4 linked regions of the Stegostoma tigrinum genome follow. The protein of the gene in region 1 purifies or fractionates together with the protein of each later gene. This does not show direct contact. Links are inferred from orthologs where the notes say so. Each region holds a gene or a part of one and is shown in the gene's direction. Other genes may lie near its edges. The genes, in order: polr2f, si:ch211-140b10.6, rpap2 and crcp.

The links.
Region 2: the proteins of polr2f (region 1) and si:ch211-140b10.6 purify together in Homo sapiens (affinity purification with mass spectrometry; 4 studies listed by BioGRID and IntAct, with this or other methods). This does not show direct contact. The link is inferred for Stegostoma tigrinum from reciprocal best matches to the Homo sapiens genes POLR2F and POLR1D.
Region 3: the proteins of polr2f (region 1) and rpap2 purify together in Homo sapiens (affinity purification with mass spectrometry; 4 studies listed by BioGRID and IntAct, with this or other methods). This does not show direct contact. The link is inferred for Stegostoma tigrinum from reciprocal best matches to the Homo sapiens genes POLR2F and RPAP2.
Region 4: the proteins of polr2f (region 1) and crcp purify together in Homo sapiens (affinity purification with mass spectrometry; 5 studies listed by BioGRID and IntAct, with this or other methods). This does not show direct contact. The link is inferred for Stegostoma tigrinum from reciprocal best matches to the Homo sapiens genes POLR2F and CRCP.

Annotation. Positions count from the first base shown.
Region 1 is NC_081391.1:23,912,428-23,919,883, reverse strand, and holds the start of polr2f (DNA-directed RNA polymerases I, II, and III subunit RPABC2), read left to right. Parts: upstream 1-4,455; 5' UTR 4,456-4,526; coding exon 4,527-4,546; intron 4,547-6,976; coding exon 6,977-7,046; intron 7,047-7,456. UniProt on the Homo sapiens protein: DNA-dependent RNA polymerase catalyzes the transcription of DNA into RNA using the four ribonucleoside triphosphates as substrates.
Region 2 is NC_081359.1:78,384,560-78,392,052, forward strand, and holds the start of si:ch211-140b10.6 (protein POLR1D-like), read left to right. Parts: upstream 1-4,474; 5' UTR 4,475-4,881; coding exon 4,882-4,907; intron 4,908-5,185; exon of another isoform or gene 5,186-5,322; intron 5,323-7,493.
Region 3 is NC_081361.1:86,500,877-86,508,716, reverse strand, and holds the start of rpap2 (putative RNA polymerase II subunit B1 CTD phosphatase rpap2), read left to right. Parts: upstream 1-4,837; 5' UTR 4,838-5,044; exon of another isoform or gene 5,045-5,126; 5' UTR 5,127-5,360; coding exon 5,361-5,485; intron 5,486-7,840.
Region 4 is NC_081380.1:23,486,356-23,493,901, reverse strand, and holds the start of crcp (DNA-directed RNA polymerase III subunit RPC9), read left to right. Parts: upstream 1-4,529; 5' UTR 4,530-4,591; coding exon 4,592-4,599; intron 4,600-7,546. Other genes in the region: uncharacterized protein LOC132211035, read right to left, coding at 1,259-1,718, 4,393-4,409. UniProt on the Homo sapiens protein: DNA-dependent RNA polymerase catalyzes the transcription of DNA into RNA using the four ribonucleoside triphosphates as substrates.

The DNA of each region.
Region 1 (7,456 bases):
ATCCTCAAACTTCTGATGGTTTCTTAAGCTAAAATCAATGCTAAAATAAAAACAAGTTAATGGCCCCTCAATATTTACTCTCCTGGTCATAAATACTAAGTTTTATGCAGGAACAGGAGTAGGTCATTCAGCCCCTTGAGCCTGTTCTGCATGGCCGATCTGTGGCCTAACTCCGTAGACCTGTCTTTTAGCCTGTATCCGTTAATACCTTTGTTAATAAAAATCTAAGATTAAGATCAAGTAACTGATCCAGAGTGCTCCAAACCCCTCTCTCCCGGTGTGTGTAGACGCGTTTCATAACATTTCTCCTGGATAGGCTGAGAATTAGGGTCAGACCATGTCCCCTAGTTCCAGAATCCCCATACACATATTGAGAAAGAAAATTTTCTTGAATATTTGACACATTCTTCATCCAAATCTTTCACTGTATGGCATTCCCAGTCAATGTTTGGAAAATTAGAATCCCCCCATTATTACAACTTTATTATGCTTACAATTACCTGAGATCTCCCTGCATAGTTGTTTCTCAATTTCTCTCTCGCTACTGCGGGCCTCTTGTACAATCCCATCGAAGTGATCTGGATTGTATGGACTGCTCCAAGCACAGCCAACCTATTTTCAAACATTTACTCTTTAGCACCCAGTCTAGCTATTAATTCTCTCAATCAGCAATTGGCTTTGTGTGTCTTTGGGCACCGGACTCACTGTTTTCTGTTCTCTTCCCCGTATCATCCAATCCCATGCCTATCATCAATATAATTACCCAGCTATTTTCAGCTCTGACAAAATGTTAGTGGACTCAAAATATTAACAACATTACTTTTCTCTATACAGATGCTGCAAGACTTGCTGAGTTCCTCCTGTGTTTGGCATTTCTAGCAGCCAGAGTTCTTTGTTTTATTTTGGATCGATATTGGGACCCTAGTTTCTCCCGTTATATATTTATGATTATATGTGGGTTTTCAAGGCACATTTTCAAAGTTTGCAAATGAATCAAACTTGGGCGATTTGCAAATTATGTAAGGGTCATGTGGAACTCCAAAAGGATATCAACAAGTTGGAGGAGTGAGCAGATGTGATATTATTTTTTAAAATTCACTCATGGGACATGGGTGTAACTGATTGGCCAATATTTATAGCCTATCTATAATTTCTATCAAATATAGGTTTGGATTACTTTCTATAAACTCCCCATAAAAGTAGTAACTAAGTCAGTCAGTCCTTCCAGAAGTGACAAGTTGCTGGAAAAACTCAGCAGGTCCAACAGCATCTGTGCAGAGAAAGCAGATGGTGCCAGACTTGTTGAGTTTTTCCAGCAATTTCTGTTGCTGACCTCAAGCATCCACAGTACTTTGGCTTTTGCTTCCCATTCAAGCATGGATCAGAGGGGGAAACCCTGGAGTGTTAATGGAAGGTAGTGGACACAGGAATGTCTCTGGATGTTGTTTACGTGGAATTCCGGAAGGCATTTGAAAGAAGTTTCCACGGGACTTGCAGCAAAACACTGACAGCTCAGAAACCATTTGAGTGGCAGGCAACAGACCGTCAGGATGATGGGTGGGCAATCAAACTGACACGATGTGACAGTGGTGTCCCACAAGGATCTGTGTTTGGGCCTCAATTAATCAGATTTATTAACAACTCAGTTGTGGCATACAAAATCATATATCCAACTTTGCTGGTGATGCAAAGTTAGGCAGCATTGTAATTTTGTGCTATCAACTTCAAAAGGATATTGTTAAATTAAAATGTATGGGCAAAATTGTGGCAGATGGAGTTCAAAAGAAGCAAGGATGAGGTTATCCATTTTTTGGACTCAAAAGAATAGATCATGGTACTTGAGATAATGGGAACTGCAGATGCTGGAGAATCCAAGATAATGAAATGTGAGGCTGGATGAACACAGCAGGCCAAGCAGCATCTCAGGAGCACAAAAGCTGACGTTTCGGGCCTAGACCCTTCATCAGAGAGGGGGATGGGGTGAGGGTTCTGGAATAAATAGGGAGAGAGGGGGAGGCGGACCAAAGATGGAGAGGAGAGTATAGGTGGGGAGGTAGGGAGGAGATAGGTCAGTCCAGGGAAGACGGACAGGTCAAGGAGGTGGGATGAGGTTAGTAGGTAGGAGATGGAGGTGCGGCTTGGGGTGGGAGGAAGGGATGGGTGAGAGGAAGAACAGGTTAGGGAGGCAGAGACAGGTTGGACTGGTTTTGGGATGCAGTGGGGGGTGGGGAAGAGCTGGGCTGGTTGTGTGATGCAGTGGGGGGAGGGGACGAATTGGGCTGGTTTTGGGATGCGGTGGGGGAAGGGGAGATTTTGAAGCTGGTGAAGTCCACATTGATACCATTGGGCTGCAGGGTTCCCAAGCGCAATATGAGTTGCTGTTCCCAACCTTTGGGTGGCATCATTGTGGCACTGCAGGAGGCCCACGATGGACATGTCATCTAAAGAATGGGAGGGGGAGTTGAAATGGTTCGTGACTGGGAGATGCAGTTGTTTATTGCGAACTGAGCGGAGGTGTTCTGCAAAGCGGTCCCCCAGCCTCCGCTTGGTTTCCCCAATGTAGAGGAAGCCGCACCGGGTACAGTGGATGCAGTATACCACATTGGCAGATGTGCAGGTGAACCTCTGCTTAATATGGAAAGTCATCTTGGGGCCTGGGATAGGGGTGAGGGAGGAGGTGTGGGGGCAAGTGTAGCACTTCCTGCGGTTGCAGGGGAAGGTGCCGGGTGTGGTGGGGTTGGAGGGCAGTGTGGAGCGAACAAGGGAGTCATGGAGAGAGTGGTCTCTCCGGAAAGCAGACAGGGGTGGGGATGGAAAAATGTCTTGGGTGGTGGGGTTGGATTGTAGATGGCGGAAGTGTCGGAGGATGATGTGTTGTATCCGGAGGTTGGTGGGGAGGTGTGTGAGAACGAGGGGCATCCTCTTTGGGCGGTTGTGGCGGGGGCGGGGTGCGAGGGATGTGTTGTGGGAAATGCAGGAGACACGGTCGAGGGCGTTCTCGATCACTGTGGGGGGGAAAGTTGCGGTCCTGGAAGAATGTGGACATCTGGGATGTGCGGGAGTGGAATGCCTCATCCTGGGAGCAGATGCGGCAGAGGCGGAGGAATTGGGAACAGGGGATGGAATTTTTGCAGGAGGGTGGGTGGGAGGAGGTGTATTCTCGGTAGCTGTGGGAATCGGTGGGCTTGAAATGGACATCAGTTACAAGCTGGTCGCCTGAGATGGAGACTGAGAGATCCAGGAAGGTGAGGGATGTGCTGGAGATGGCCCAGGTGAACTGAAGGTTGGGGTGGAAGGTGTTGGTGAAGTGGATGAACTGTTCGAGCTCCTCTGGGGAGCAAGAGGCGGAGATCAGGGTACTTTCTGGATTTACCTGTACGCCTACAAAGTAGGTTAAATATAATGGATGGGTTCAGGTGCATGGGTCTTTAAAATATTGTCAACAGGTACAGAAAATAATCAAGCAAGTTAATGGAATGCTGGCCTTTATATTGTGCACACGTGTAGTCTCTAGAAATTATACAAAACCCCAGTTAGAGCCCCACTTGCAGCACAGTGTCTGTGCACCACACCTCAGGAAGGATACCGTGGCCTTAGAGGGAGTACAATGTAGGTTTACAAGAATGGTATCAGAGATAATGGGAACTGCAGATGCTGGAGAATTCCAAGACAATAAAATGTGAGGCTGGATGAACACAGCAGGCCAAGCAGCATCTCAGGAGCACAAAAGCTGACGTTTCGGGCCTAGACCCTTCATCAGAGATGAAGCTCCTGAGATGCTGCTGGGCCTGCTGTGTTCATCCAGCCTCACATTTTATTATCTTACAAGAATGGTACTTGGGCCTCAGGGGTTATGAGGAGAGATTAGATAAATCAGGCCTGTTTTCTCCAGAATTTAAAAGGTGTTCTCATAAAAGTCTTCAAGATCTTAAACAGGAAAAACAGACCCTTCTTCCTAGGCCCGAACCCTCAGCCTTCCTGCTCCTCTGCTGCTGCTGCTGCTGCTGCTTGTCCAGCCCCACACCGGGTTATCTCAGATTCTCCAGCACCGGCAGCTACTGCTGTCTTTAAAGGGATGACCTGTTGCATTTGTGGGAAATGGGTTGGACTTGGCTGAGGCCCATTTCGCAAAGCGTCTGGAAGTTAAACCAAATGGTTTGTGATGCTGCTACAGGCCTGAGGTCCACCCTCCAGAAAAGGCCCCTTAGGGCCACTCAGTACATGCTGGTCAAAAACAACCGCTTAACCGTTGTGCTTCTATATTCCAGCACTTCACATCACAAATTACACCCTTACAGTTGTTAATACGAGATAAATTCACGAGTGTAATCTCTGCCCAGAACAATGTTCATGTGAAAGTATTTACTAGAACTACAGGCAATGAGGGAGAACGCCCCCTGCCAGTATCAAACATGGCGAAGCACTCCGATTGGTATAAGGCGCAGGCGCAGTGACGTCATGTCCAATAACCCTTGATCCGGAAGCACCTTGCTTGACGCCGCTCAGTGTGGACTACCACCGCCATCATGTCGGACAACGAGGACAAGTGAGTGATCGGCGAGAGCCGCTGTTTCCAACACAAGCTGCACACACCGGTGCGGACACAGCCCGTGACCGCAGACAACCGCCAACTCACCCCGGGAGCCGCTGCCGCCCTCCAACGAGGCCTCTTCCGGTCAATTTACCAGACGCCCCGAGAAGTGATCGAGCGAGGCTAACGGACAGCGACTTGACAGGGTCTGCTCACAGTGCCGCCTGCTGCCCGGGCTGAGTCACTGCACCCCCCCACACAGTGCCGCCTGCTGCCCGGGCTGAGTCACTGCACCCCCCCCCACACTGCCGCCTGCTGCCCGGGCTGAGTCACTGCACCCCCCCACACTGCCGCCTGCTGCCCGGGCTGAGTCACTGCACCCCCCCACACAGTGCCGCCTGCTGCCCGGGCTGAGTCACTGCACCCCCCCACACAGTGCCGCCTGCTGCCCGGGCTGAGTCACTGCACCCCCCCCACACAGTGCCGCCTGCTGCCCGGGCTGAGTCACTGCACCACCCCCACACAGTGCCGCCTGCTGCCCGGGCTGAGTCACTGCACCCCCCGTTACAGTGCCGCCCGCTGCCCGGGCTGAGTCACTGCACCACCCCCCCCGTTACAGTGCCGCCTGCTGCCCGGGCTGAGTCACTGCACCCCCCCCTGTTACAGTGCTGCCTGCTGGCAGGGCTGAGTCACTGCACCCCCCCCGTTACAGTGCCGCCCGCTGCCCGGGCTGAGTCACTGCACCACCCCCCCCGTTACAGTGCCGCCTGCTGCCCGGGCTGAGTCACTGCACCCCCCCTGTTACAGTGCCGCCTGCTGCCCGGGCTGAGTCACTGCACCCCCCCGTTACAGTGCCGCCTGCTGCCCGGGCTGAGTCACTGCACCCCCCCCCCGCCCCACAGTGCTCCCCACTGGCCGGGCTGAGTCACTGCACCCCCCTCACAGTGCCGCCCACTGCCCGGGCTGAGTGACTGCACCCCCCGTTACAGTGCCCCCCACTGCCCGGGCTGAGTCACTGCACCCCCCCCGGCCCACAGTGCCCCCACTGCCCGGGCTGAGTCACTGCACCCTCCCCGTTACAGTGCCCCCATTGCCCGGGCTGAGTCACTGCACCCCCCGCCCCACAGTGCCCCCCCTACTGCCGGGGCTGAGTCACTGCACTCCCCACCCCACAGTGCCCCCACTGCCCGGGCTGAGTCACTGCACCCCCCGTTACAGTGCCCCCCACTGCCCGGGCTGAGTCACTGCACCCCCCCGCCCCACAGTGCCCCCACTGCCCGGGCTGAGTCACTGCACCCCCCGCCCCACAGTGCCCCCACTGCCCGGGCTGAGTCACTGCACCCCCCGCCCCACAGTGCCCCCACTGCCCGGGCTGAGTCACTGCACCCCCCACCCCACAGTGCCCCCACTGCCCGGGCTGAGTCACTGCACCCCCCCCACAGTGCCCCCACTGCCCGGGCTGATTCACTGCACCCCCCGCCCCACAAGCCCCCACTGCCCGGGCTGAGTCACTGCACCCCCCCCCCCACAGTGCCCCCACTGCCCGGGCTGAGTCACTGCACCCCCCCCCCACAGTGCCCCCACTGCCCGGGCTGAGTCACTGCACCCCCCCCCCACAGTGCCCCCACTGCCCGGGCTGAGTCACTGCACCACCCCCCCCACAGTGCCCCCACTGCCCGGGCTGAGTCACTGCACCCCCCACCCCACAGTGCCCCCACTGCCTGGGCTGAGTCACTGCACCCCCCCACAGTGCCCCCACTGCCCGGGCTGATTCACTGCACCCCCTGCCCCACAGTGCCCCCACTGCCCGGGCTGAGTCACTGCACCCCCCCCCCCACAGTGCCCCCACTGCCCGGGCTGAGTCACTGCACCCCCCCCACAGTGCCCCCACTGCCCGGGCTGAGTCACTGCACCCCCCCCACAGTGCCGCCCACTGCCCGGGCTGAGATACTAACACACCCCCCGTGCCCGGGCTGGGGGTCCCTGTTCTGTGTGCCAAAGGGCTCCTGCTGTCTCAGCTGTGCCCCTGCACCAAGTGTCCTTCCCTTGCCACTGGTTTTAACTCTCCTGTAGCACCTCCCGCCGTCTCGCTGACTGAGAGCCCGCAGCTTTCTGCCTGGTGCTGCTGGTGGGGCGGTGGTAGCACTGGCTAATGCTTCGGAGCGCTCTTAGGGGACCATGTGGTCTGTGGCTGCTTCTGTTTCTTAAGACGTGTGGATTGGGGCTAATGTTTGATAACTGGAGGCACAGAGGTAAAGCTGGAACGGGTTGGAAAGGCACCACTAAGGGTTTTAAAGTTAATTTTGTGGGGCCTGGTTTAAAAGGGATGTGAAGGATTAGTCCTTAGTTCACAGGTTGCTGATTGAACATTCTCTTGGACAGCCAGAGCTGAGTTGTTGATACTTCTGTTTTGTGCTTCTAATATTTTTCTTTCTTTAATTTTAGTTTTGATGGAGATGATTTCGATGATGCTGATGAAGATGAAGGAATGGATGACCTGGACAATGCGGAGGAGGTGGGCACCTCGAACAACCAATATTCCTCTCTCTATCTGTAGTAAAGCTCTCTCAATTCTCCCCAACATGGGACTTCACTCCTCCCTGCTCTCTAGCTCCACCGCTCCTACAACCCGCCTTGATCGCTGCACACCTCCAGTTCTTGACTTCTGTCATTCTACCAAGACAGTCGTGCTTCCAGCTGCCTGGACTCCAAGCTCAAGAATTCCCTCCCTAAGTCTTTGTCTTCACTTCTCTCTGTCTCTCACCCATTACGATGCTCATTAAAGCCCGTCTGTTTCAGTGAGGCTTTTGCCACACCTTGTCTTTTTCTGAGGGTCAGGTTTTATCAAACAATAGTACACTGAAACCCAATTTATGAAGACTAATTGGATGATCAGATTGTCTGGTGGAGGAGCTGCAGAGCCAG
Region 2 (7,493 bases), on another chromosome or scaffold:
TTAGAAGAAAATGTGACATAACGTGATAGAATTCTTCAGTGGAATAGCAAGTGAAGTAATCCAATCCAAATTTATAGTTCTCAGCTACAAAGATATGCAGAGTAAATTGGCTGTGACAGACTGGGTAACCTAATTAAAAGGCATGGCGGTGGACAGGCTGTGGCTAATATTTAAGGAATGAATGCATGCATTGTACCAGTTATACATTCGTTCTGGGTAAAAGAATGCAACAGGCAAAGTGTCCCAACCACGCTTAACAAATGAAATTAAGGGTAGCATTATATCCAAATGGAGTCATATGAAGTTCCTGATAAAAAGTAGCAAGCCCAAGGACTGGGAGCAGTTTAGAATTCATCAAAGGAAGACTAAAAGTTTGATTAAGAGGGATAAATAGAGCATGAGAGTAAGGAACATAAAAGTGGATTGTAAAAGCTTCTGTAAGCGTGTAAAATGAAAAAGGTTAAAGGTTAGTGAAGACAAATGAAGACAAACTCACAATCTGAAATGGGAGATTTGGTCATGGAGTAGAAGAAACGATAGAGCAATTAAGCCACAACTTCTGTTCTGTCTTCATACAAGACAAGAAAATAAAACTTCCCAGAAGTGCTAGGGAAAGAAGGGTCCTTTGGGTATGAATAATTGACAAAAATTACCATGAAGGAAAATATTTCAAGAAGAATTAATGGGACTGCTAGTTGAAAACTCCTCAGGGCCTGATAATCTACATTTCAGGGTACTAAAGGAGTTGGCCACTGAAATAGCAGATATGTTGGTTGTTATCTGCTAATAATTTACAGATTCTAATTAGGTCCCAGAAAATTGGAGGATGGCAAATGTAACCCCAATATTTTGAAAAGGAGGAAGGGAGAAAAGTGGAATTTAGCCTAACATTAGTTGTAGGAAAAATAATGGGAGTCTATTATGAAGGATGTGATAAACAGAACATTTAAAAACTACCAACAGTATTACACAAACTTCAACATCAGTACCACATTTCCAAACAGGACAAAGATTTACCAATAAACATGTCCAGGTGGGTACTGGAACCTTCAAGAAACAAAGGAAGACACCAACACACTTATTATCACACTGATCTATAACTCAAGAAGTTTTCACAAAATTACTTCTAGAGTAATTGAACGAAAGAAAGTACAGGACTTCTTCCTGGTCACTTGGTCAATTCACTTAATCACAGGTAGGAGGAGGCCATTACTTCAACAAAAATGTTACATCTATGCCTAAGTAATTGCAAGGGAAAACTGTACATATATAGAATCCCAACATGAAACTCCAGAATCCTGACCTGGAAATGCAGAAAACTTCATCAACAATGCCAGCAACTGACACAATATCAGTAACATAGAGTACAATTACTACACAACAGGAGTAACAAAAACAATAATGCATGGCCATTCTTTACTGAAAACAATGAATGTGAAACCACAAGATGGACACACAACATTCCATCACCAAAGCCATAATAAAGTCACAAATAATCCTTTTCAGACAGTATAAACTGAGCAATAAAATATTCTTGTATGTTCAATTTATTTATAAAAGTTAATTATCAAACTACTGTAGTTAATAGAAAAAGTGTTAATTGTTGGGATTGTTATATTTGCTTAGAGTCTTTCGAGGAAGAGGGAGGATATGCATTTAGATTATTCATAAAGAACTTGTTATATAAATATATATCTAAAGGCGCTGCATTCAGTCACATTACAGTCATGTGCTGAGTAACAATGTATCAGTCTGTCAGTCTACAACCATATGGGGAGCTGAAAGAAGAAAAAATGCAATAAAGTTGAAGCATTCTTGAATCTAAAGTGTAATCGGCCTGAGTCTTTTGAGGATTGGCAAGTGCTGTTATATTGTCACTCCACTCATAATTTTCTCCAACTTGCCAGAGCTCCACTTTTCTGGCCCTGCTTCTGTTTCAAGATTCTACAGAAATTTGGAATGTGTCTGAAATGGAACTGCTTTAAATGTAGCATTGGATTGTCAAGATAAGACATGCACAGTAGCTGTGTTCTGCAAAGCTAACTTTTCCAACCTTTCCCTGAAGAGCACAGAAAGAAAGGTAAGTGTGAAAGAGGGTGAGTGTGGGTGGGGTAAAATTGTAGTGTAAGGGTGGTCGGTCAGGTGGTTAAGGGGATAGGTTTACTGTGGATGTATGGTAGGTGAGACAAATGGTTGAGGAATGGTTACGGTAGCACATGAATGCAGTGGATAGCTTGGAACAGTGGGCAAGATGGTATGAAGGTAGTCAGGTTGGCAACAAATGGATTGGGTCAGTTGGGCATGAGTCAGGGTGATTTGAGGATTAGGCAGGGTAATTGGAGTGTCAGGAGGAAAGCTTGTACAGTTGCAGGGGTAACTGGGGGGAAATCAGTGTAAGTGGCTGGGAGGTAAGGTTGGGGAGACAGTTGGATAGCTACCCAGGAGTGAGACCAGATTTTGTCCTGTTCCAACATTTCCTGGGTAAGTGTTCAGCAAATAGATGTATATGATCCAAAAAGTCTCCTACTATACCTGAGAATTGGAAACATTTTCGGAGGGCCCCAGAAACAAGGCATTGCAGACCAAAAGTTCAGATTCATCAAGTCCGGTGGAGTCCTTCCACTGGGACTTCTAAAGAATTCAATAACATACAGACTGGGCTTACTCCAGAAAATAAGTAAATGAAGACCAGGAGATCTGGGCTATTATTGCTAACTTATGGAAACCAGATGACATCAAATCAGTATTTATTTCAGTCATTTACTTTCATAAATTAAAGAGGTGCATAAATTGTCCCAGTGTTCAGCAAGGTATCATTATCTTTTTGATCTCACTGGACTATTATCAGCTGGCACTTCCAGTAATTTGACGGCAAAAAAACTAAACTTGCAATTGCAAATCAAGCTAATGGGGGAGACTGCAAATTCCTTGTTCCAGACAAATCTGATCCCACTGATCCAACAATGATATATATCTCTTGTTTCTTATTTACAAAAATTGCAAGGATTTCTAGTAGCTATATGTACATCACAGTACAGAATAACAGGGGGTTTCACTGATCAATTTTGTTACTGCTGAACAAAGCAATTCTAAGTACAAAAATGAATATATAAATTAACATCCTCACAAGTACCCCTTAAATGAAATTTTTGGTGCGCAAAGTGTTAACATTTCAAATTAAAATAAACATATTCAAAACATTCAGATATTTTTCTTTGCTAAAAGTACACAAACAAAACTCAATCCAGAATTATTAAGTGATTGTAAAAATGACTTTTTATTAAAAAAACACAATATGGCAGTATTTAAAAATCAATAGTAAAATCGTTCAATTCGAAAGACGTAAAAAACATACGATTAAAATTGTTTTAAATAAAAACTGCTTATCTTAGGCTTTTCCATTAATTTAAAATGATTGCTGTTGAGATGTCATAAAAATATAAGTAAATCACAAAACAAGTGAGCTCTACACTTTACCAACGCAAGAACGTTTTCTAAACTGACCACTTCTACTTCAAATATTTGCAAGGTTAAATAGAAACTTGAGTCAATACTTGATGCATGGACAAAACGACCTGAACGACTGAACAAATTAATAGATTAACGAGAAGTACATCAATATTACAGCGGTGAAATGAAATTTCATTGTTAAATATCAACGTATTATTCGCCTTTACAAAAACAAATTACTGCGGATACTGGAAAACGGGCAGGTGGTGGACAGAATCAATTAAACATCTGTTTGTTAGTGCTCTCAGAGTGGCAGGTTTTATGTTGTCCATAAACAAGCACATATAGATATATATAAATATACACATACGTCTCCCTTCTGAGCGCAATAACAAACACTCCTGAAAGCATGGCGAGACGTCTAAAATGCACGAAGTCAAATATCAAAGCAGCCTCAGCAATCTATGCAACAAGCGGCTCTCCCCACATCTCAATCCAGCAGCTTCCCAGATAACGGTCACATCAAAAACGTTCTCCTGCAGACTCTGATTTATACCAGCGAAGCGGTATGGGAAAAATAAATCAATCACCGGAGTAGGAAGATTTCACGTTAAAAAGACTGAGTTGGGAGGGGTAGGAGGCGCCTGCATTTCTCTCACACACTCCCTCCAAGATTCTTCGTCGTCAAGATACCAATAACTGCGAAATAAATATCAAATGGGTTTTCCTTTACGTTTACTTTACCTTTCGTGGTGCAGACAGCAAACACTAACCATACAGCGCCATACAATTCCAAGAAATCGTGCAAGTAACTGAATGTTTCAAGGCGATTGGTGAACATTCACTGCGAGAACTTCGGTTTTAGTGTTCAAGATTTGTACAGAAGATTACCAGTCAAATAAACTTGCTTAGTCGGGGAGCCACATTGACAGGACAGACATCCAATTACAATTCGAGATGCCACAAAGATCTGCCCACCGACGAAGGCAGGCGTGAAAGGCAAACCAATCAAAGCGCACGACAATGTCACCGCTTCCCCTCCTGTACCCCCAAAATTGCAGCAAGTTAGTGTGAAGCCGACCTGAGGAAACCTTTCTGTCTCTTAACGTTGCCTGCACGAATGGGGAGAGCTGTAGGTGGTTTGTATTTACGAAGGGGAGACAGAAATGAAGAGACAAAAATAATTTCCTGGAGGAAGTGAATGTTATTTCCCGTCATTATTCACAACGACCATGTTTCAGTCAGCTGTTTCTTTCGGAGCACGTATGATCAGGCGGCTGAGATAGGCCATCCTGCTGCGGACAGTGGAGGGGCGGGGAAAAGCTGGGCTTTCGCGGTCTCCGCGGCGGCTCGCTCCGAGACGCGGCTTTCAAAAGAAACCGAAGAAGTCGCGAGCTTCAGAGCAGTGTTAGAGTCGCGCGAGAAGTTGTCATGGAGAAAGATGGCGAACTCGAGAGGTAAACAATATCTAATGACTTCAGCCAGAGACTATGTTAATGTCATTATCAGCAGCACAGGGGCTTACTGGCCCTGTCCTGTGTGCGGTGTCTTGGCAACCGACTCTAAACAAACCCGATTCAAATTTTGTGTAAGAGATAATGGGAACTGAAGATGCTGGATAATCTGAGATAACAAAGTGTAGAGCTGGATGAACACAGCAGGCCAAGCAGCAGCTTGGGAGCGCAAAAACTGACGTTTCGGGCATAGACCCTTCATCAGAAACCTTTCTGGTTACCTGTTCGATATCGCGTTTGTTGCAGGCCTCCTCGGGCGTAGCGTATTCCCAACTCTGTATACAGAATGTGTATATCTGTAAAAAACATACCAGCCCGGTGTGACGTGTTCCGCCTCGCAAATCTGGCATGTCATGGCCATTCCCCTCCCGCCCACAACCTCAGCAAGGGTTATGGGTCAGCTAGTGCCGACATAAAATTCAGGCTGCCCTCTGACTATACATGCCAGAGAATATGCTAGGGTTCAGAAACCTGGCACGTTACCATCCATGATAACAAGGTGTAGAGCTGGATGAACACAGCAGGCCAAGCAACATCAGATAAGCAAGAAAGCTGACGTTTCATTTTCTGAAGAAGGGTCCACACCCGAAACGTTAGCTTCCTTGCACCTCCAACGCTGCCTGGCCTGCTGTGTTCATCCAGCTCTACACCTTGTAATCTCAGATTGTCCAGCATCAGCAATTCCTACTATCTCTGAATCAACTTTACCATCAATGACGTTACCATGTCGCTAGCCTCGCAACTGGAACATACTGTATGAACAGCACTATGCTTATCACGATCCTTCAGTTACTGCTCATATAATTTTGAAAATCAAATCAGCACGTGGAATAACACTACAGGTATCCTAATTGCATTTTTTTTGGAATGTCTATTCAGAGTTAAACTGAATTTGTTGCACTTGTAGCACCTAACATAGCAACTGAAATGAAACAAAGAACTGTGAATGCTGGAGATTTGAAGCAAAGAAAAACAAAAGAGCTGGAGAGACTCAACTGATTTGGTGGCATTTGTGGAGTGAAAGCAATGTTTTGAGTCCAGTGACCCTTCTTCAGAACATAGTAATTACTTAATTTCATGTGGGATGTAAGGCCCACTATGACATTGTCCAAGTAACATGTATTTGCTTGACCATTTGCAGTTTTTATTGTTTACGTAATGTGCCACCCCTGGTCTACTCCAAGGCTGGGCAACTTGAGGTTGGCAGTATTTACATTTTGGTGTTCTTAGGGACATAACTGTTGTGCAATATCTCTGCCCAGGAGACCTCGGTTCGAGGTCTCTGAACCTCTGAACAAGTTGGTTAGAAGACCTCTCGAGGTGTAATATGCCCAAGATTTGTGGGGTGGTCAACACCACAGCAAGGAACTCAGCAAATCGCACCAATCTGGCCACCCTGGGCTGTATTATCTGCATACATCTGTTTCAGTTCTTTTCAAGGCCTGTCTTGAGATTTTTTTGAATTTCAAAGTCTACTTTGTTCATTTCCATTAACTCCATTAGATGATACATTCATGTGATAACATGACTGTCTGTGTTGGTGTTGATTTTTTTTCTTCAGTTTTTATGTCATTTTAGTAATCCAAATGGAAAGATTGCAGTACACAGCAGATTTTCCAATTTTAAGACAAGGATTAATTAGTTCAAAAGAGCATGGTAACCATGTGTCAATGCTATAATCTGAAGTGCTATTCCCCATTCCAAATTACCCTTGAAAAGCTAGTGGTTAACTACCTTTTTTTGAGTACACCTGAGTAGTTTGCTAGTCACTTTCAGACGTCTGCTAAAAGTCAATTACATTGCAGTGTATTTGGATTCACACGTAAGCCTGAATGTTTAAGGTTGATCTCTTTCCCAAGAGAACATTAGTGCATCAGGTGTTTTACTTTACAACAGTGCAGTTGTTTCATTTAAGTTTAAATTCCCTTGCAAGAAGGGAATTTAAAACATAAAAGTATCTTGCCACACATCTGTCTTCACTGCTCCATGTTAGATGCCTTGATATCTTATGTCTTATATTAGAACCCAGATACCATTTGCTGTTCAGTGCTTAACCCACATGGAGGCTGCATTTACATTGCAGAGTCAACATGAGGTTGCTCTGACACTAATTACAGTTAATGTGTGGCCAAAGCAGAGAAACACCAGAGTGAAGTGGAGCAGAACAGCCTGTAGGAGGGCTTTTGAATCAGTCAGGACGCAACGTGGACAGCTCAGTTTAAAATTCATGACAAAAATTAAAACTGATTTCTAGCAATCTTGAACTTTACTACAAATGCATGCTTAGCAACAACCTAACTAAAGTCAGTAATAAATTTAGGGTAAAAAACACTTAAAGATGTGGCATCAGTATAAGGAAATGGATTAACAAATTAAGTTGTTTGGAGTGTATGATCCACTATTATCCAGGTTTAACAGTTGGAAATGATGAGGCTACAGCTTTGAGGCACATGCCAGACAGGGAATACAATGTGCATGTCTTGTTTGCACGCTTTAGTCTTTATCACCATATCACTCTCCTCTTTCCTG
Region 3 (7,840 bases), on another chromosome or scaffold:
AATCCATGTATACCGCATCCACTGCTCTACCTTCAGCAACATGTTTGGTCACCTCTTCAAATAATTCAATAAGGTTTGTGAAGCACGATCTACCCGTCACAAATCCATGCTGACAATCACGAATCAAAACCGTGCCTATCCAAGTGATCATAAATCCTATCTCTCAGAGCCCTTTCTAATAATTTGCCCATCACTGAAGTAAGACTAACTGGCCTATAATTTCTGGGGTTATCTCTGTTCCCTTTTTTTGAACAAGGGAATGACGGTTGCCTCTCTCCAATCTTCTAGCACTATACCCATGGACAGTGAGGATGAAAAGATCATCGGCAAAGGCCTTGTGATCTCTTCCTTTGCTTCCCATAGAATACTCGGATATGTCTCATCAGGCCTGTGGGACTTATCTGTCTTCAAGTTCCTCAAAATTCCTAGTACATCCTTATTACTAACATCCACCTCCTCCAAATAAAAACCAAAAGAACTGCGGATGCTGTAAATCAGGAACAAAAACAAAGTTGCTAGGAAAGCTCAGCAGGTCTGGCAGCATCTGTGAAGGAGGAAACAGAGTCAACGTTTTGGATCTGGTGACCCTTCCTCAGAACTGATAGTGGCTGGGAAAATGTCAGTTTATGTGCAGAAAATAGGGAGGTGGGTGGGGTAGGGAGTAAACGAAAGGATAGAGCCCAAAGAGCAAGAAAGACAGTTGGATAGACAAAGGAGTTGCTAACGATCAGGCTGGGAGGGTGAGTAGTTGTTTATGGGGACCGTTATTGACGAACAACAGCGGGTGTGTAGTGATAATGGGAACTGCAGATGCTGGAGATTCCAAGATAATAAAATGTGAGGCTGGATGAACACAGCAGGCCAAGCAGCATCTCAGGAGCACAAATCCATTTGTGCTCCTGAGATGCTGCTTGGCCTGCTGTGTTCATCCAGCCTCACATTTTATTATAGCGGGTGTGTAGTAGCAGGCTATGTGGTAGGGCTCTCAATCGGGTCCAACCCATCTCCCACACTTTTGCCCTCACCTCTTCTCTTCCCACCTGCAACAGTGATAGGGTTCCCCTTATCCTCACCCACCATCCCACCAGCATCCATATCCAGAAAATCATCAGATGACATTTTCACCACTTCCAGCAAGATGCCACCAGATACATATTCTCCTCCGCTCTCTTGTCTGCCTTCCGCACGGACCATTCCCTCCGGGACACCCTGGTCCACACTTCCTTCACCCCCAAACCCTGCCCCCTACCCTACGGCGCCTTCCCCTGCAACTGGCGAAGGTGCAACACCTACCCACTTACCTCCTCCCTCCCCAGTATCCAAGAGCCCAAACGTACCTTTCAGGTGAAGCAACACTTTACCTGCACTTCCCAGAATCTAGTCTACTGCATTCGCTGCTCAAAATGTGGTCTCCTCTACATTGGGGAAAATGAAGCGTAGACTTGGCAACCGCTTTGCAGAAAATTTACGTTTTGCTCACAAAAAAGACCCTGAAGTACCTGTTGCCTGCCACTTCAACGCACTACTCTGTGCCCTGGCCAATATCTCTGTCTCCAGCTTGCTACAGTGTTCCAGTGAAGCCCAACGCAAGTTGGAGGAACAACAGAGATTACACAGTGTGAAGCTGGATGAACACAGCAGGCCAAGCAGCATCAGAGAAGCAGGAAAGTTTGACGTTTCGGGTCAGGACCCTTCTTCAGAAATGGGGGAGGGGAAGGGGATTCTGAAATAAATAGGGAGAAGGGGAGAAGTGGATAGAAGATGGATAAAGGGAAGACAGGTGAGAGGAGACAGACAGGTCAAAGAAGAGGGGTTAGAGCCAGTGAAGGTGAACGTAGGTGGGGAGTTAGGGAGGGGACAGGTCAGTCCAGGGGGGATGGACAGGTCAAGGGATGGGATGAGGTTAGTGGGTAGGAGATGGGGGTGGGGCTTGAGGTGGGAGGAATGGTTAGGGAGGCAGGGACTAGCTGGGCTGGTTTTGGCATGTGGTCGGGGGAGGGGTAATTTTGAAGCTTGTGAAGCCCACATTGGGAACCCTGCAGCCCAAGGGTATCAAGCGAAATATGGGATGCTGTTCCTGCATCTTTCGGGTGGCGTCATTGTGGCAATGAAGGAGGCCCAGGATGGACATGTCGTCCGAGGAGTTGCCGGGGCGGGGGGGGGGGGGGGGGGGGGAGGAGTTGAAATGGTTCGCGACTGGGAGGTGCAGTTGTTTGTTGCGAACTGAGTGTAGGTGTTCCGCAAAGCAGTCCTGATGTAGAGCCCTGTCTTCTTCTTTATCCATCTTCTATCCGCCTCCCCTATCTCCCTATTTATTTCAGATTCCCCTCCCCTCCCCTCCCCCATTTCTGAAGAAAGGACTAGACCCAAAAGGTCAGCCTTCCTGCTCCTCTGATGCTGCTTGGCCTGCTGTGTTCATTCAGCTTCACGTGTTATCTCAGATTCTCCAGCATCGGCAGTTCCTACTATCTTTGGATGAATAACACCTCATTTTCCCCTTGGGGTCCCTACAGCCCTCTAGACTCAATACTGAGTTCAATAATTTTAGGGCCTAAACTCCCCCATGTCCCAGCCCCCCAACCCACACACCAGGCTTTGTTACCACATTGCCTGCCACTACACACCCCCTGTTGTTAGTCACTAACAAACCCCATTAACAACTACTCATCCTCCCAGCCTGATCATCAGCAACTCCTTTGTCTGTCCAACTGTCCTTTCTCTCTCCTTGGGCTCTATCCTATCGTTTACTCGCAACCCCACCCACCTCCCTATTTTCTGTTTATAAAGTGACGTTTTCCCAGCCACCGTCAGATCTGAGGAAGGGTCACCAAACCCGAAACGTTAACTCTATTTTCTCCTTCACAGATACTGCCAGACCTGCTGAGCTTTTCTAGCAACTTTGTTTTTTTTTCCACTTCGCCAGCCGACCAGCCTGTTTCACACTGTACTCCCCTACAACTAGGTCTCTCTCAGTTGTGAATACTGAAGAAAAGTATTCATTTAAAGGACCTCTTCTATCTCTTTAGGCTCCACGGACAAATTCCCTTTACAATCCTTGATCGGCCCTACCCTTTCTCTGGACATTCTCTTATTCCTCACATATGTGTAAAAAGCCTTGGGGATTTCCTTGATCCTATCTGCCAAGGTTTTCTCATGCCCCCTTTTAGCTCACCTAAGCCCTTTCTTCAGTTCCTTCCTGACCAGCTTGTATCCCTCTGGAGCCTTTTCCGATCTGTTTCCTAAACCTTATATAAGCATCCTTCTTCCTCTTAACCAGTCGTTCCACCTTGCTTGAGAACCAAGGCTCCCTACTCAACCACACCTTCCCTGCCTGCTAGGGACAAACATATTGAGCAGACGCAGTATGCATTCCTTAAACAATATCCACATTTCTATACTGCTCTTCCCTGACAGCATCTGTTTCCAATTTATGTTACTCTGTACTTGCCTAACACAATTATAATTACGCTCCCCCCAATTATAAACCTTACCCTGCTGTATGTACATATCCTTTTCCATGACTATTGTAAACGTAACAGAGCTATGATCACTTCCGCCAAAATGCTCTCCTACCAACAGGTCTGACACTTGGCCCGATTCATTGCCAAGCACCAAATCTCCTCATTTGGTCTATCTACATAGTGTGTCAGGAATCCTTCCTGATCGCACTGAACAAAATCCACTCTGTCTAAACTATTACAACTAAAATATTTCCAATCAATATTTGGAAAGTTGAAGTCACCCATGACTACAACTCTGTGACTTCTGCACCTTTCCAATCCGCTCCTCCACTCCTCTGCAACTATTAAAGGGTCTGTTTTTAAAACAAAACCCAAAGTGACTGCTCCTTTCTGGTTCCTGACCTCAACCCAAACTGACTCTGTACGCATATCATTCTTGAACTGCCTTTTAGTAGCTGCTATACTAGCCTTGACTAGCAATGCCACTCTTTTACCACCCTCCCTATTTCTTTTAGAGCATCTAAATCCCGGAATTTCCAACAACCATTCCTCTCCCTGAGTTGCCCGAGTTTCTGTAATGGCCATAACATTGTAGTTCCAAGTACTGACCTATGCTCTAAGTTCAGCTGCCTTATTTCTGATACTTCTAGCATTGAAGTATACACACTTCAAGCCATCCCTGTGTCCACAATTACGCTCCATTGACCACATTTCTTTATTAACAGCCTCACTCCTTGCTGTGTCCGTTGGAAGGCTGATTACTTCATCCTCTGAATTACAAATCCGGTTCCACACCCCCTGCCAATCTAGTTTAAACCATCCCCTTTAGCTCAAGCAAACCTCCCTCCCAGAATATTTGTGCCTTTCCAGTTCAGGTGCAACTTGTCATTACTGTACAGGCCCCACTTTCCCCAGAATGTGCTCCAATTATCCACGTAATGGAAGCCCTCTCTCCCACACCAGCCCTCCTACACCTACACCTCAGGTGCATTGAAAAGATTTAGAGGCGTATAATCAACCTTTTTAGCATTCACACAACAACTGCTTATAGTCCAACAGGTTTACTTGGAAACATGAGCTTTCAGACGCTGGAGTCGGAGATAATAGTGTGGAGCTGGAGGAACATCGCAGGCCAGACAGCGTAAGAGTAAAGTTGACATTTCAGGTTGGGATTTCTGAAGAAGGGTCCTGACCCAAAACGTCAACTTTCCTGCTGCTCTTATGCTGCCTCGCCAGCTGTGTTCCTCCAACTCAACGCTGGACTATAACCTGGTGTTGTGATTTCTGACGTTGTCTAACCCAGTCCAACACCAGCACCCACACATCATTTTTAGCATTACAAGTGCACTTTCCATATCCAGAGAGTCTTAGTGTGGAACTTGAACTTGGAGCTTCTAGCCCAGAAGGAAGTGACACTACCACTGTGCCACAAAGTTTTCTGACAATTGAAATTAACAACTCAATATCAGTGTGGGTTTTCGGAGCTTTCCCCCTTCGTCACACTTCGAAAGCTTATGATTTCAAATAAACTAGTTGTCGTCTGACTTCTGACGCCAGTCCAACACCGGCACCCCCACACCAAGGTAGGTTTTGACTGAGAATAATACCAAACAATCCGAAGAACCCGTGTTGGACTCAAAACGTTGACTTTTTCTCTCTCCGCAGATGCTGCCTGATCTGAGTTTCTCCAGCATTCTCTATTCATTGGGGAAAAAAGGGCGATTCTTCAAATAATATGAACGAAAAATTTAAACTCCCTCTATGATCAGAAAAAAAACTGAAGACATTATTTAAGTAGAATGAACGGAAAAACGAGGATTTAAATATTGAACCGGCAATAATCACGCCTCTGCTGGTTAACGGCCACAACGGCGGGGTCAAAGTTCGGTTGGTACCATCATGGCGTCGGAGCCGAGGCGAAACCCGGGTGGGAGACGCTTAAGGAGCCGGCGGCGAGAGGGCTCGAGCGAGGTCAGTGTTAACAGTAAGATGGGAGTCTCGGACATTGAAGGGACCCTCAAGAGGTGAGAGAATCCGACTGCGGGCCGGAAGTTTGTAATCGTTGCGTTGTCAATTCTGTTAGGGACTTATGGGATGGAAGAGGGCAGGGAGATGGAGGAAGAGGAATCTCAAAAGTATATGCAAGTCTCTGTGTAACATCAGTCAGTGTCTGAACTGTCCTGTCTGTTCTTGCCTGCCCGTTCCCTGTGGTGGTTGGGTTAGTTAGTCCAGTCTCACATAGTATTTGGTGCAAGGCTGTTCAGGTATGTTTGTGTGCAACTTTAAAAATGGCACTAAATTTTAAAAAAAACCAAACAACTACGAATGCTAGAAAGCGCAACTCGGCGCAAACTGTAAGAACTCCCTCACTTCTGTTTGAGGACTCTACAGTCTTCTGGGCTCAATGTTGAGTTCAACAATTTTCGGGCTTGAGACGCCGTCCCATGCGCTTCCCCTAGTTAGGCCTTGTTATCACACAGTCTGCTACTGCAGATTGTCTATCGTTTGCCGCTAATTGTCCACTAATAGCTATGAATTCTCCCAGGCTGATCATTATTCCTTCATTTTGTCGGTTTGTCGGTTCTTTTGTCTTTTGGATTCTGCCTACCTATCCTTTACTCGTTACCCCCTTCCCCCACCATATCCTCTGCATAACAACCAACGTTTCCTAGCTACTACCAGTTCTGAAGAAGGGTCACTGAACCTGAAACATTAACTTAGATTTCTCTCCAGGAATGCTGCCAGATCTGCTGAGCCTTTTCAGCAATTTTCTGTTTTCGTTTTGAAAGACCTGTTAATGTTTGCCCCTCCTGTTTTGGTTGTTCTATTTACTCCAGGGAGCTACAGCCAAGATGTAACAAGAAAAAGTAACATTGGTATTGTCGTTGAGACAAACTGTCTATAACCCATTTCCAGTTTGTTTACTAAGTAGATTTGGTCCAACTGTTTTAGTGTAGGGAAAGGCAATTTTAATTATTTTCAATGGCAGTGGTGAAATGTAACAGATTACCAATGGATTTGGAGGTGAAAGAGAACACCAGGTATAACAAAGTGTAGAGCTAGATGAACACAGCAGTTTGAGAGGGAGAAGGGAGAATCGGAAGTGTCAGTATTGCAATTGAATAAAGGGAACTATGGAGCTATGAGGGAGGAGCTGGCCAAAGTTCAGTGGTACAATACCCTATCAGGGATGGCAGTGGAACAAGAATGGCAGGTATTTCTGGATATAATGCAGAAGGTGCAGGATCAGCTCATACCAAAGAGGAAGAAAGATCCTAAGGGGAGGCGGGGGCAGCCATGGCTGACGAGGGAAGTTAAGGACTGTATAAAAATAAGAGAAGTATAACATAGAAAAGATGAGTGGGAAGCTCTTAAAGAGCAACAGCGGATAACTAAAAAGGCAATACACAGAGGAAAAAATGAGCTATGAAGGAAAACTGGCCAAAAATATAAAGGAGGATAGTAAAAGCTTTTTTAGGTATGTGAAAAGAAAAAGAAAAGGTTACGACTAAAATTGGGCCCTTGAAGTCAGAAACAGTGAATTTATTATGGGGAACAAGGAAATGGCAGATGAGTTGAATAGGTACTTTGGATCTGTCTTCACTAGGGAAGACACAAGCAATCTCCCAGATGCAGTAGTGGCTGAAGGAGCGAGGGTAATGGACAAACTGAAGGGTATTTGTATTAGGCAGGAAATGGTGTTGGATAGACTGTTAGGTCTGAAGGCTGGTAAGTCCCCGGGACCTGATGGTCTGCATCCCAGGGTACTTAAGGAGGTGGCTCTAGAAATTGTGGACACGTTGGTAATTATTTTCCAATGTTCTATAGATTCAGGATCAGTTCCTGCGGATTGGAGGGTGGCAAAAGTTGTCCCGCTTTTCAAGAAAGGAGGGAGAGAGAAAACAGGAAATTACAGACCGGTTAGCCTGACGTCAGTGGTGAGAAAGATGCTGAAGTCAATTATAAAAGATGAAATTACGACTCATTTGGATAGCAGTAACAGAATAGGTCAGAGTCAGCATGGATTTATGAAGGGGAAATCGTGCTTGACTAATCTTTTGGAATTTTTTGAGGATGTATCTATGAAGATGGATAAGGGAGAGCCAGTGGATGTTATGCACCTGGAATTTCAGAAAGCCTTTGATAAAGTCCTGCATAGGAGATTAGTGAACAACATTAGGGCACATGGTATTGGGGGCAAAATATGGAGTTGGATTGAAAATTGGCTGGTTGACAGGAAGTAAAGAGTAGTGATAAACGGGTCCCTTTCGGAATGGCAGGCAGTGACCAGTGGGGTACCACAAGGTTCGGTGCTGGGACCACAGCTGTTTACGATATATATTAATGATATAGATGAAGACATTACAAGTAATATTAGC
Region 4 (7,546 bases), on another chromosome or scaffold:
TGCCTGAGATGGAGTCTGAGAGGTCCAGGAAGGTGAGGGATGTGTTGGAGATGGCCCAGGTGAACTTGAGGTTGGGGTGGAAGGTGTTGGTGAAGTGGGTGAACTGTTCGAGCTCCTCTGGGGAAGCAAGAGGCGGCGCCGATACAGTTATCAATGTAACGGAGGAAGAGGTGGGGTTTGGGGCCTGCGTAGGTGCGGAAGAGGGACTGTTCCACGTAACCTACAAAGAGGCAGGCATAGCGGGGGCCCATGGCCACCCCCTTTGTCTGTAGGAAGTGGGAGGAATCGAAAGAGAAGTTGTTGACGGTGAGGACGAGTTCGGCTAGGCGGATGAGGGTGTCGGTGGATGGGGACTGGTCGGGCCTGCGGGACAGGAAGAAGCGGAGGGCCTTGAGGCCATCTGCATGCGGAATACAGGTGTATAGGGACTGGACATCTATGGTGAAAATGAGGTGTTGTGGGCCAGGGAATTGGAAGTTCTGGAAGAGGTGGAGAGCGTGGGTGGTGTCACGGATGTAGGCAGGGAGTTCCGGGACCAAAGGGGAGAAAATGGAGTCCAGATAGGTGGCGATGAGTTCAGTGGGACAGGAACAGGCTGAGACAATGGGTCGACCAGGGCAGGCAGGTTTGTGGATTTTGGGAAGAAGACAGAAACGGGCCGTGCGGGGTTGGGGAATAATAAGGTTGGAGGCTGTGGGTGGGAGGTCCCCTGAGGTGATGATGTCATGAATGGTGTTGGAGATGATGGTTTGGTGCTCGGGGGTGGGGTCATGATCGAGGGGGCGGTAAGAGGTGGTGTCGGAGAGTTGGCGTTTGGCCTCGGCGATGTAGAGGTCAGTGCGCCGTACTACCACTGTGCCACCCTTGTCTGTGGGTTTGATGGTGAGGTTGGGGTGGGAGCGGAGGGCTGCCCGTTCTGCGGGGGAGAGGTTGGAGTGGGTGAGAGGGGTGGAGAGGTTGAGGCGGTTAATGTCTCGGAGGCAGTTGGAGATGAAGAGGTCGAGGGAGGGTAGGAGGCCTGGGGGTGGTGTCCAGGAGGACAACTTGTGTTGGAGGCGGGTGAAGGGGTCAGTGGAGGGAGGGTTAGGCTCCCGGTTGAAGAAGTAAGCGTGGAGGTGAAGACGGCGGAAAAACTGCTCTATGTCCAAACGTGACTGGTATTTGTTGATGTGTGGTTGTGGGGGGACAAAGGTGAGCCCCTTGCTTAGGAATGACCGTTCATCCTAGTCAGTGGGAGGTCTACAGGGATGGTGAAGACTCAGCAGGGCTCTGTGTGGCTGTCTACTCTGGGGTTCCCGGCTGTTGAGGTTGTGGGCGGAGCGATGAGATCGTCAGCTGTGGGCGGGGTTCCGTCGGCATCAGCCATGGGCTGGGTTCCGTCGGCAGTGGGAGGAACAGGGTGGGCGGCGGCAGCAGCGGTGAGGGTGGTGTGTGGTGTTACAACTGGAAGTGGAGGTGGTGACTGCCGCAGCAGTCGCATCTGCGGTCCCAGAAGTGGTGTGCCCAGCGGTGGCAGATGTGTCGTCATCGGTGGGGTCTCCGGCCATGTCCTCATGGTCAATGGTGGCGGGTGCTTGGTGGGGGAGGGGCAGGGACTGGCTCGGGATTTGGGAGGTGCAGGAATCCTTTTCAAGGTGCCAGGAGCCAATGAGTTTGTAGTACTTACGATTTTTGGAGTCCAGTAAAGCTGAGTAGAACTGGTGTTCAGTCTGTGGATCCTGTGGAGGATAAAAAACAGGAGAGGTCCTTTGCTGGTCTGGGAGAGGGAGGCTCTGAGCTGGGGCAGGCTGGATTGCAATGCCTGGAGGTGCCGACGCAGGACTCGCAGGGAGAAACGCTTCTGAAGGGTCTGAATGCTCTGGGTGTAGAGGTGGTCACGGTTGGGGCAAAATTGGGAAGGCTTGAATGTAGACTGTGGTCCATTGGGGATGATCCAGTTCCGTAGGCAGGTGCTGAGGAAGGTGATGTGGCTGTGGTACCTGGTTTGCTTCACGACATGGTCGAGCAGTTTCAAGGATGAAGAGATTGCAAGAGAGTTGCAGTGGGAGAGAGATTCCCTGAGGTTGGTCCGGAGGGAGGAGGGTAACTTCTTCAGGTTAGGCATCCCTGGAAGAGGCCTCGCAGTGAGGTTAAAATTGTATCAGAGATAATGGGAACTGTAGATGCTGGAGAATCCAAGATAACAAAGTGTGGAGCTGGGTGAACACAGCAGGCTAAGCAGCATCTCAGGAGCACAAATGCTGACGTTTCGGGCCTAGACCCTTCATCAGAGAGAAGTCTGTTGAGGTGTTCGTGTATGAGAAACTGCCATGGGCATCCCAGTTGCATTAATCTCAACTTCTACCATAAGAAGTGCACTCAGTTAGTTTAGTCAAGAGAAAAGTGTGCTACGTCAGCAGTACTGGCACACCTTGTTGATCCTTACTGTGGTTGTGATTACGGAAAAGGATTCAATGTAATGAAATAATTAATGTCACATCCACAATTCTAACTATTGATGGCTTTAAGATTCACAAATAACGAAAGGGGGGGTGGACACATTTGAAATAGAACAGTTTGAGAACTGTCATGCAGGCAGTGGGGAAACAGAGGAAACATTATGCCTTGTGCACTTCCTAAATTTGCTCATTCACTTTGGAAAAAGTGAGTTTAGGTCATTGGACCTCCAGTTTGAAGGGATCTAACAGAAAATTGGCTGAACAGATGGGCCTAGCTCCCTTTCCATCCTGCTTGCTGTGTTGACGGCTCAGCCAGACCCGTGGAGCACCTCACAAGGGTTAGATTACCCTGGTCCTTCTTAACACCGAAGGCAGTACCTCTCCTCCAATTCTCCTTCATCAAGATCCCATCTGATAGGAGGGTTATTCTTTTAAGGGTGCAACATACCACTCCAATTCAAGAATCCTTGAGTGACTGTACTGGAAAACATCCCCTAATCTGTCTACCAGAACCAAATCTTGAGGACTACAGTGCCTGCTCTATGGTGGCCCTGGTATGGCGACAGGAGGCTGCTGAAGCATTTCTGTGCCTCAACTGGTTTCATAATAGTTGTTAGCAGATATCTATTTAATGGATTGCTGCTGGAGAAATGAGGCTCTCTGCCTGATTAAGTGATTCTTCAACCAAAGTGGACTATAGGATTCAGGAAGCCCAGTTGTGTTGGTATACCAAATCGGGACATCACCTTGGCTCCCTCCCTGCCTTGTGCACAACCGCTCGATATGCCTTAGGACTAAAGGCTCATAATTAGTGCAAAAATAGCTGCTCATTATTGTTGTTTATCTCCAAATCTAAGCTGCTCAGCTCAATATCCAAAGATGGCTTTTCCTTCCTTCAGAAGGCTGATCATAGCTGCCCCCGAAGCGCACTAACCCTTGTTTGGTCGCTCCCCCCCCAATAACACTATGAGGCTGCATACTCTATAGCCACTCCACCTCACTAACCATTCCACCTTTTGTGCTAATCTCCTACTTCCCCACACACTCCTATAACATTGAACAAAACTTTTTAAAAATCACATCTGAAGTGGGGCTTGAACCCAAGGTTTCTGCCCAGATGCAGGAACGCTAGCACGGCATGACAGAGCACCCATATATTTGCACAGATTTTCTAATCTGCCAGTTAAGAGACGTGACTGTACACTTCTGCGGCAGGGGAGACTTCAACCTAGGCCTCCTCACTCGAGCCCACATCACATCCTGTAAAATGTTATTTTCTCGTTAAATTACTTTTGATAGAGACTTTAACCAACCTACCTAGATGTGTTATGATAGCCCTGGTACTGAGGCAGCACCTGTCTGCAGCAGGTAAGATTTGAATACAGGTCTTTAGGTCCATAGGCAGAGGCATTACTACTGCACTACAAGTCTCTCAATTATACTTTTACACAATATTTTTCTAAACAACCTGTTCAGATACATTATTACACATCTGTGGAGCAGGGAAACTTGAACCTGGGACCAATAGTCCAGCAACAGGGACACATATCTTTACAGGTCCAGAGGTGCCATCACACACACACACAAACAAACACCACCAAATTACCATAACTTTCTTTTTTACCCTGCACCTTGTTTATACCCAGAAGTGCTATCTCACACAACTAAGTGACCTTCCCACTACTAAAATCACCATGACTGCTTTTTTTTAAAAAACTTACCAACAACCACCACCAGTAAAGTAAAACACCCGTTTTAGATATTAGATGCTTACAAGCAAAGGCCATTACTGGCGATGCAAACCATCTAAACGGGGGGGAGGTGGATGGGGAAGGGACTAAATCAAACTGGAGTTGCTGGAAGAAATGAAGAAGTGTATACCCTGCGGCGCCCACCTCTCTATAACGTCATGGAGTACACTGAAGAGACACCCAGCCATGAACCATATTCTTACACATTATTTCTATCCATCTGGTTCGAATACCTCAGTTGAAGCAGTTCCCCGGCCCAGAACCAGCTCCCGCTCAAGGCCGCGGCTGGGATTCATGACCGGAAATCACGTGGGCCTGTGCGGCCAGTTTCTTCCTCCGGTGAGAGGTCGGAACCAAACTGCGGTGGCAGAGCGGCTGTCAGGGCCCGAGAGCGGAAGCAGGATGGAGGTGTAAGTTCTCTTCAAATGTTTGCTCCAGTTTTTAGATCAACGTTGCCTCATCAAAGTCACTAGCAGCGTTTAAACGGAGTCGGGTGTCCGGCACGGGGAGAAAAACAGAAACTACGGCTCTCTTCATAGCTTTTCAGTCTGTCTTTTGGATTTTTCGCTGATTTTAGAAAACCCGCCTTCAGTCTTTTTCAACACTTTTCTTTCACAACAGACAAAACTCGTTCTTTTTGGTTGTCCTGTGTATTTTGTGCAAATAGCCCGATTTTTGTTTTGGTGTGAGTCTCTTATGTCTGCTGAATGAATAATTCATTTATGCAGCTCGGGAAGTTTGGCCAAGCAGTGATGGTTTGTGAGGTTATGAATTGTGCGGCAATTAAGAACGAAACATAGGATAAGTCTGGTTGGACTCAGTACCTGTGTCTTTTATTTTGGTCCAGTATGTTCAACGTGTGGCAGACCATGCGTGTGGTTGAAGGGACAAGCAATGTCAGTATCGCAACACGTTAGAGCAGAAAGAGCAGGGGCCGCAGAGGAGAGATGGTGCAGCAGGAGGTGTTGAAAATAGAGACTTTAGAGCAGCTGTCAATGTGAGAGTTTGGAACAGGGAGTGTGATGAGACTTTCAATTGCAATGTTCTCCGTATAAATAATTTACTTTGTCTCGCATAATTGTGGGAGGGAGGCAAGGGCTTGGGGAACGGGGAGCTGGGTGGTGGCGGGTATCTGTCGACGATACGTTGATCTGATTGACCATATTATATGGGAGTAAAACTCCGTTAATTTGAATATCCTCATCATGACCTGCTTATGTCTCCCAACGTTCTCACATCAATGTTCTGTAGTAATCGCAGTATTAGTGATAGTCACTCACTTCCCACATGTTTTTCTTAGCTCCCTTTTTTAAAAGAAAGCATGATTTTTGTATCTGTCAGCTACTTCCGTTTTCTCCACCGCTTTGTCCATGGCCGTTTTTCTTGATTTGTGTCTGTCCACGTGAGGAATAATGTAGAAATGCAAGTTATGTACTGTGTGTGGATGCATTTAAGGGGTTTCTCAGATAGCAGAACGAAAGCTTAGAATAGAATCACTACCGCGTGGAAACAAGTCATTCGGCCCACAGAGTCCGCACCGACTCTCCCGAGAGCATCTGAGATGATGGGAACTGCAGATTCTGAAGAATCCGAGATAACGAAGTGTGGAGCTGGATGAACACAGGCCAAGCAACATCTGAGGAGCATAAAAGCTGACGTTTCGGGTCTAGACCCTTCTTCAGCTGCACACTTTGTTCTCCCGAGAGCATCCTCCTACCTTATCCCTTTAACCCTGTATTTCAGCACGGCCAAGCCATCTAACCTGCACAACTTTGGACTGTGGGGACGAAATCTTCGCAGACACGTGGAAATCATGTGAACTCCACATAGACAGTTTCCCAGAGCTGGAATTGAACTTGGATTCCTAGTGCTGTGAGGCAGCGGTGCGGATCATAGCCATCGTGCCGCCTCCTGTTCTTAAATTATATCGGGGATAAGTGCACATGAAAAATTCATTTTTTTTGAGGGAAGAGACAATCTTACAGCTGTCTTGTGGAGCTAAAAGTGAAGAACATCGGGGGACTGATGGTTTGCAACGCGATATTTTTTTAAAAACTCCAATGTTTGATCCCATTTATGATTCTATTGATAAATTAGACTTCTCATGTTTATAAAGTAAGTTCATATATAATTGTATTGGGAATTGATTACTGAGTAACTGTAAACTGCACCAATTTCAATTGTGACAATCGGGTTTTCTACCCTTTTATACACAATATATTTTTGACAAGTGCATCAATAACCAGCTGACAGTTATACACTGTCCTGATTATTGACTTATCCAGTATAAAATTTTAAAATGTCTTGTAGAAAATCCTCTGTTTGAACATCAATTTCCACCGAAACATTTCAAATCTGTTGTGGATGAACAGTCTGGGCGATTCTCCCTGAAGTGTCAAGGCTGAGGGGTCACCTTTTATAGAAGTTTAATAAATCATGAGCACTGATAGGGTGATTAGTCTTTTCCTCGGGGTAGTGGGGTCTAAAAGTAGAGGGCATAGGTTTAAGGTGAGAGGGGACAGATTTAAAAGGGACTTAAGGGACAACTTTTTAATGTAGAAGATGCTGCATTTATGGAATGAACTGCCGGAGGAAGTGGTGGAGGCTGGTACAATTACAACATTTAAAAGACATCTGGATGGGTATATAAATAGGAAGGGCTTAGCGGAACATGGACCAAATGCTGGCAAATGGTGCCAGTTTTATTTGGGATATCTGGTTTGTATGGACAATTTGGATTGAAGGGTCTGTTCCTGTGCTCTACAACTCTATGACTCTATACTATAGCATTTAGTACAAGCACTAAAGTGAACATTTGTGAATAAATTAACTTTTATTATTTATACCGTACAACAAAACAATCCCCTTTTTAAATACAAGATGCTAAAATTAAAGAGCAGAGAATTGAAATCTTTTATCGTAGTTTGGCTTCCACTAGTTAATGCCACCCCTTGTATTGAATGTTGACGGAAGAGTAATAGGAGCTTGCAATTCTTTATAGTGCTTTAATATCAAAATAAGCTCTAACAAATTTAGGTGGTGTAATAAAACAAAAATGAATGTTAAACTGAAGGAGATTTTAAAAGGATTGTTAGTGGGTCAAATTGAAAGAAAAAGAAAGAGAAAGAGGCATAGTTTAGGGAGGGAATTCCAGAACATGATGACTGGACAATTGAAATACATGGTTACTGATGTTTTACCAAGAGAATTGGGAGTGACTACACAAGTAGCCATTTCAGGGAGGTATCATATTATCAGAATTGATTCTGACATTGAGAGGTAAGGCCATGTAGGGATCTGAATATGAGAAGATTTTTAAACTTGAGGCTTTGGGAGCCAATGTAAAGTCAAAGCCAA